Mus musculus: one gene and its partner. The protein of the gene in region 2 purifies or fractionates together with the protein of the main gene of each other region. This does not show direct contact. Links are inferred from orthologs where the notes say so. Each region holds a gene or a part of one and is shown on either strand. Other genes may lie near its edges.

What was found. Proteins that work in one complex are often made in the same cells at the same time.
Region 1: the proteins of Adrb2 (region 2) and Usp33 purify together in Homo sapiens (affinity purification with western blotting; 3 studies listed by BioGRID and IntAct, with this or other methods). This does not show direct contact. The link is inferred for Mus musculus from reciprocal best matches to the Homo sapiens genes ADRB2 and USP33.

What each region holds. Positions count from the first base shown.
Region 1 is NC_000069.6:152,377,423-152,381,074, forward strand, and holds part of Usp33 (ubiquitin carboxyl-terminal hydrolase 33), read left to right. Parts: intron 1-1,421; coding exon 1,422-1,467; intron 1,468-2,013; coding exon 2,014-2,194; intron 2,195-3,091; coding exon 3,092-3,218; intron 3,219-3,652. UniProt on the Homo sapiens protein: Deubiquitinating enzyme involved in various processes such as centrosome duplication, cellular migration and beta-2 adrenergic receptor/ADRB2 recycling.
Region 2 is NC_000084.6:62,177,641-62,181,392, reverse strand, and holds Adrb2 (beta-2 adrenergic receptor), read left to right. Parts: upstream 1-1,411; 5' UTR 1,412-1,640; coding exon 1,641-2,897; 3' UTR 2,898-3,680; downstream 3,681-3,752. Other genes in the region: Gm9949 (uncharacterized protein LOC225609), read right to left, coding at 790-1,348. UniProt on the Homo sapiens protein: Beta-adrenergic receptors mediate the catecholamine-induced activation of adenylate cyclase through the action of G proteins. The beta-2-adrenergic receptor binds epinephrine with an approximately 30-fold greater affinity than it does norepinephrine.

The DNA.
Region 1 (3,652 bases), on a different chromosome or scaffold from region 2:
GACAGCGGGTGCTCACCCCAGATGCCAAGTACACATCTGTCAAGTGCACGTTGATATTGATGATTTAATGGCTTCTTTTGAACAAAGTGTTTTATGTGCATTGGTGTTTGCCTGCATGTCTGTCTGTGTGAGGGTATCAGTTCCCTGGATCTGGAGTAACAGACAGTTGTGAGCTGCCATGTGCATGCTGGGAATTGAACCAGGGTCTTCTGGAAGATCAGTCAGTACTCTTAACCTCTGAGCCATCTCTTCAGTCCCAATATTGATTACTTGAAATAATCACTCTTTGGCCCCCCACATTTTCCTAATATTAAGAGTGAAGGTTTTCAGGCTGGGTGTGATGCTTATATACTATGTCATGGCCCAGGCGTGGCCCACACCTTTAATCCTGGCTCTTAGCAACAGGAGGCAAGTGTCTCGCTGCCAGTTCGAGGCCAGCCTGGTCTACACAGTGAGTTCCAGGAAGGCCAGGGCTATGTAGAGTGACCCTGTCTCAGAAACAGAAACAAAATTATAAACAAACAAACAAGCATGCAAATAAAATAATGGTTTTAAACCCACGTGTAGTGGTAAGTGGTATATGCTGATATTATCAGTACTGAGGTGGGAGGACTATACATTTGAGCCTAGCCTGGGTTTTATAACAAGACGTTATTGTCTTCAAGGCAAAATAAAAAGAATAATAAGAATATATGAACTTGAGTTACAGATCTTGAAGAAGATTTGGATTCTACACTATGAGTTTTACTTAATATCTGCATATTATAAACATATTGTAGACATATTGTAGACAGTGGCACCTTACCTCATGCTGATTTTTTGTTTGTTTGTTTTTGGTTTTTCGAGACAGGGTTTCTCTGTGTAGCCCTGGCTGTTCTGAAACTCACTTTGTAGACCAGGCTAGACTCAAACTCCTAGAGATCCACCTGCCCCTGCCTCTTCTCTCCTGAGTGTGGGGATCAAAGGCGTGCGCCACCACTGCTCACTGATGCTCATTTTTAAAAAGCAGGACCTCCGTAGCTCAGGCTGGCCTTGAGCTTGGAATGGAGCTGAGGGTGACCTTGGTCTTCACAGTTTCCTGCTTTCACCTGCTGAGTACTGAGTATAGGTGTGTGCTGCCATGCTTGATCTGCGCAGTGCTGGGTGGGAGCTAAGGCACCACATAGCTAGTCCCTAATTCTTTTTTAATCAAAGTATTGTGTAGTGACTTAACTTTTAATTAGTGATATGTTGGTATACGTTAATTTTTTATACTAAGAGCTATTTTATTGTTTGATTATTTAGTGTATAAATATATAATATAACTCAGGAATATTGTTATTCTGATTCTTTCTTGACATTTTCTGAAAGATATTTTTGTGATCCATTTAAATATAATAAGTGTTTTGTAGATTTTTTTAGCTTTTCTTTTTTATCCTTAGGTTGAGGAATGGAGTAAAGTTTTGTAAAGTACAGAAGTTTCCTGAGGTATGACTTCATTGTTACTCGTTTATAAGCTGTTTAGGACTCACTGTGGGAGGTTGGGTTGAATATATAACACCATCTAACAGTGTGCTGAGCATTTCACCAGACAGCGCAGGGCTCTGCAAGTCTGAAGTTTACAGCTAGACAGCCGGTGGCATTGAGCTTTGGAAGAGCCATGCTCACTCTGCCACATGACAGATGTGTCTGGAATCAGGTCAGAATTCAGGGGGATATTTATGATTTAACTAATTCATAAACTCTAATTGAGAATATAAAATGGGCCAGGCATGGTGGCTATGCAAATTTCTGTGCATTCCAGGCCAGCCAGGTCTATATAGTAAGACTTAGTCTCTTTAAAATGGGGGGGGGGGAAAGCCCCCAGTCCCCCCAATTGAAATAACTATTTTAAAATAAACATTTAAATGAATGTAATTTTATATGAGAATGCCACATTTTCTTGTTTTTACAATAAAACTTGAGTGTACTTTGTTTCAACCACTACAATCTCTTCTAGTGAGTAATTTGGATGTTGAATTGTACTTCTTTTAGATTTTGTGTATCCACCTTAAAAGATTTCGACATGAACTGATGTTTTCCACCAAAATTAGCACCCATGTTTCCTTCCCCCTGGAAGGCCTCGATCTTCAGCCATTTCTTGCAAAGGACAGCCCAGCTCAGATTGTGACATATGATCTCCTGTCAGTCATCTGTCACCATGGGACTGCAAGTAGTGAGTACAATGGCTTGATATTTGTTTGTGATTAAAAAACATGTATCCAAGTTGATTGCTTAAATAAGCCCCACTTGACCAAAGGGAGAAAAATTTAAAAACAGGTTTCAGTGCTTATTATTAGAAAAACAGCAGACAACACAAAGTAATAACACACAGTTAGGAGAATACCTGTGTGTGGGGGCACGCACCTATTGTTCCGGTACTCAGGGGCCTGAGGCAGGAGGATTAGGAATTCCAGACCCCAAAAATGCCAGCTAGTTGAAACAGGTACCTGTAATACAGATTAGCAATCTAACTTAATCTTATTGGCAAACCTGAATGCCTGCCAAGTTCAAGGAGCCTGGGTAGCAGAGACTGTGAAATAAAAACGAGACTGTGAGATAAAAATCTCCCCGAGTTTAAGATATTTTATAACGTTGCATGAATTATTTGTGTGTGTGTATGGAATTACAATCTTCTAACCCATAAATTGTACAATTATTAAGTGTTAGAGGAAGCATTTCAGATGTTAAATTTTAAGACAGTAAATATTTTTCCGTAGACTATTTGGAATAATTGAAATTAAAGTTAGAAGGACAAATGGTAAAAACCATAACATGGCGAGTTTTGTTTTGTACAAGGCTTTTCAGAGCTGCATGACCTCAGGTGTGTGCGGCGGAACACTCTTGGGAAGCTGAGGTGGGAGGATTGTCAGTTCAAGACCAACCTGGGCTACAATAGTGAGATCTTTTCTCAAGACAAAAAGAAATGATTAAACTTGTGCTTCCTGTCTTACAGTGGTAGTGCTGAGAGTGCAGACTGAAATAATCAGAGCACAGACAACTGCTGTGACGTGTTTCAGCTGCTCTGCGGTCTGACACGTAGCACCGTAACACGCTTTTTCCTGCCTTACAGGTGGGCACTACATTGCCTACTGCCGAAACAATTTAAATAACCTGTGGTATGAGTTTGATGACCAGAGCGTCACTGAAGTTTCAGAGTCCACTGTACAGAATGCCGAGGCCTACGTCCTTTTCTACAGGTGACGGGGAACTGTCATGACCGTGGGAAGACTGTCTTCTTAAGGATTTGTGCTTCTGAGACTTTCGGGGCTTATGGGTGAAGATTAGAAGTGCTGTGCACGCTCATGAGTAAGAGAGAGAAGCTGTTTACAGAATGGTACTTTGTTCAGAAAATAGGACTTCATAGAGAAGCAAAGGGACATAGTGTGTTTTACATTGTTTTTGTTTGTTTTTAAGTACTTATTTTTAAATTTTTATTTATTTTATATGTATGGGTATTTTACATGTATGTATGTGTGTGCACCACATGTGTGCTTGGTGTCAGAGGAGGTCAGAAGAGGGCATCAGATCTCCTGGAACTGGAGTTATGGATAGTTGTGAGGCACCATGTAGGTTCTGGGAATCTAACCCAGTTCCTCCAAAGAACAGTAAGTATTCTTAACTGCTGAGCCAT
Region 2 (3,752 bases):
AAACATGTTTTTAATATAGGGAATTATATGAAATTGTGGGGTGGGCAGCGAGGTTAAAGGCAGAAATAGCCCAATGGTGGCACATTCACTGACACAGCCTAAAAGATTAGCAAATTACCCAGCCAACACATACAATTAATACAATTAATATTTTTATAGTTAAAACAGAGTTACTAAAGAAATTGTTTGAAAAGAAAATTATGAAGACTGGAAAGACGGCTCAGTGCTTAAGAGCTTTGGCTAGTCTTCCAGAGAACCAGGGTTCAATTCCCAGCACTCACAAAGGCAGCTTGTGAGCTGATACTATCTGTATATTCAGTCCTAGGGAATCTGATGCTTTGTCCTGACCTCCAAAACAGGCACAAATGTGGTGCACAGACAAATGTAGAGATAAGACTCCCATGCACAGAACATAAATAATGTAGTTTAATTTTTTAAATTGTAAAACTGAAAATGGTTGCACTTGCATTTTTATTTTCAGCACATCCCCAGATATCCGCCATATAACAAGAAAATGATGCCACACTCCCAAGAATTAAGAATTACACCTTCCCAACCCTACCCAAATGTGTATACTTCTAGGTCTAAAGAAATGCGAAGGATGAAGTTACTGCCTTGGTGCGGTTCTCAAGGAGGGAGGATGCCAAAAAAATATTTTTTCACAAAGTGTGCTGAGAAACTCTGTAGCTGTTGGAGTCATCTCCTGTGCTCTTGCCAAATAACTGAAAGGGGATACACTGGATGTCTGTGAATGGGGTGTCACTTATGAGTGCTAGAAGCGGGTGGTACCTGGATGTGGACACCGGTGTCTGAGTGGTCCGCACTCCATGTCTCCACAGGAGCGCTTATGTGTGTTTCTTTCCTCCTGCTTCTGGGTGTTCCTGGGTTTGTTTACAGCCACCTCTCTGTTGGACCAGGAGACAGCTGTCATCTCCAGAATGAGCGGGCGCGGGTGTGTCTCCGTGGCTGTGGCTGTGGTTCGGCATAAGTCTGAGCATGTCCTGGTCGTCAGGGTGCGTTTGTGCCTGTGTGTGCGTGTCCGGGTGAGCTTGCTCTTTCTGTTCCTAAAAGAAAACGCACCCTGCGCTACTGGCGTCCAGAGACCTCTCAGCCCGCACAGGTGACCTGAACGGACAGGTAGCACCTCCAGACAGCGCCTGGTTGGCGGGTTGCACAGCAGCCCTAGATTTCTCTCTCTGGTGCCCCAGCTAGGGTAGCTGGAAGGGAGCGGTGGCCTGGCCTCCGGGGAGCCGCTGGGCCCCGCCCGGGCTAACCCCAGGAGGAGGCGGGCTAGGCTGGGAGGGTTGGCCCTTGGTGCCTCGCCCCTCCGGGCATCCGGCCGTGCCATTGGCCCAAAGTTGTTGCACGTCACTGGGCAATTCCCCTAAAGTCTGGTGCACATAACGGGCAGGGCGCACTGCAAGGCTGCTTCTCAGGCATTCAGGCTGCGGCTGCAGGCACCGCGAGCCCGGAGCACCCACGAGCTGAGTGTGCAGGACGCACCCCAGCACAGCCACCTACGGCCGCTGAATGAAGCTTCCAGGAGTCCGCCCCCGGCCGGCTGCGCCCCGTCGGAGGTGCACCCGCTGAGAGCGCCTGGGCACCGAAAGCCGGTGCGCTCACCTGCTAACCTGCCAGCCATGGGGCCACACGGGAACGACAGCGACTTCTTGCTGGCACCCAACGGAAGCCGAGCGCCAGACCACGACGTCACTCAGGAACGGGACGAAGCGTGGGTTGTGGGCATGGCCATCCTCATGTCGGTTATCGTCCTGGCCATCGTGTTTGGCAACGTGCTGGTCATCACAGCCATTGCCAAGTTCGAGCGACTACAAACCGTCACCAACTACTTCATAATCTCCTTGGCGTGTGCTGATCTAGTCATGGGCCTAGCGGTGGTGCCGTTTGGGGCCAGTCACATCCTTATGAAAATGTGGAATTTTGGCAACTTCTGGTGCGAGTTCTGGACTTCCATTGATGTGTTGTGCGTCACAGCCAGCATCGAGACCCTGTGCGTGATTGCAGTGGATCGCTATGTTGCTATCACATCGCCCTTCAAGTACCAGAGCCTGCTGACCAAGAATAAGGCCCGAGTGGTCATCCTGATGGTATGGATTGTATCTGGCCTTACCTCCTTTTTGCCTATCCAGATGCACTGGTACCGTGCCACCCACAAGAAAGCTATCGATTGTTACACCGAGGAGACTTGCTGTGACTTCTTCACGAACCAGGCCTACGCCATCGCGTCCTCGATTGTGTCTTTCTACGTGCCCCTGGTGGTGATGGTCTTTGTCTATTCCCGGGTCTTCCAGGTGGCCAAAAGGCAGCTGCAGAAGATAGACAAATCTGAAGGAAGATTCCACGCCCAAAACCTCAGCCAGGTGGAGCAGGATGGGCGGAGCGGCCACGGACTCCGAAGGTCCTCCAAGTTCTGCTTGAAAGAGCACAAAGCCCTCAAGACTTTAGGCATCATCATGGGCACATTCACCCTCTGCTGGCTGCCCTTCTTCATTGTCAATATCGTGCACGTTATCAGGGACAACCTCATCCCTAAGGAAGTTTACATCCTCCTTAACTGGTTGGGCTACGTCAACTCTGCCTTCAATCCTCTTATCTACTGTCGGAGTCCAGATTTCAGGATTGCCTTTCAAGAGCTTCTGTGCCTTCGCAGGTCTTCTTCGAAAACCTATGGGAACGGCTACTCTAGCAATAGCAACGGCAGAACGGACTACACAGGGGAGCCAAACACTTGTCAGCTGGGGCAGGAGAGAGAACAGGAACTGCTGTGTGAGGATCCCCCAGGCATGGAAGGCTTTGTGAACTGTCAAGGTACTGTGCCTAGCCTTAGCGTTGACTCCCAAGGAAGGAACTGTAGTACAAATGACTCGCCACTGTAATACAGGCTTTCTACTCTCTAAGACCCCTCCTTGACAGGACACTAACCAGACTATTTAACTTGAGTGTAATAACTTTAGAATAAAATTGTATAGAGATTTGCAGAAGGGGAGGCACATCCTTCTGCCTTTTTTTAAATTTTATTTTATTTTTTAAGCTGCAAACAAGAGAGAGAAACTGTATTTGAGTGCTTATTGTTTTCTTGTATAGTTCAGTTCCTCTTTGTATGGAACTTAAAGGTTTCTGTCTGAAGAGTGTTGGTTCTGGAGGACTGAGTCTGTCTGTCTGTCTGTCTGGATGATGTTTTCATGTATCTACCTCACTGGTCAAGTATTAAGAATGATATATATTGCTGCTGGAAATCCATATCTAAAGGAGAGAGTTTTCTTCCTGTACCCTTGGACTTGAAATATCCTGTGTCTTGGACCTTTCTGCTGTGACAATGGGCCCTTTCTCTCTCACTCCACTTATTTACTCAAATGGAGTGTTGCAGGCAGGGATTTGAGGGACAACATCAGTTGTTTTGTTTTTGTTTTTGTTTTTGTTTTTTTGTTTGTTTGGTTCGTTTTTGGTTTGTTGTTGTTTTTTGGGGTTTTGTTTTTGTTTTTGTTTTTTTGGGTTTTTTTTTTTTTTTTGCTGAGAAAAGTCTAAAGTTTACAGTAAATAAATTGTTTAACCATGACTTCATTGCACCCGTTTCTTCAAAACCTCTTGACTCTGGAGTGTCCTTGTCTCTCCCACTGGAAACCACAGGTAAACTATGTGTCGTGACCGATGAGTGGCTTAATGTGTAAGAGTACCAGAATGGCATGCACCGTGCCTAGCCCTTCCGTGTGTGTCTTCGGAGCTCCAGATGC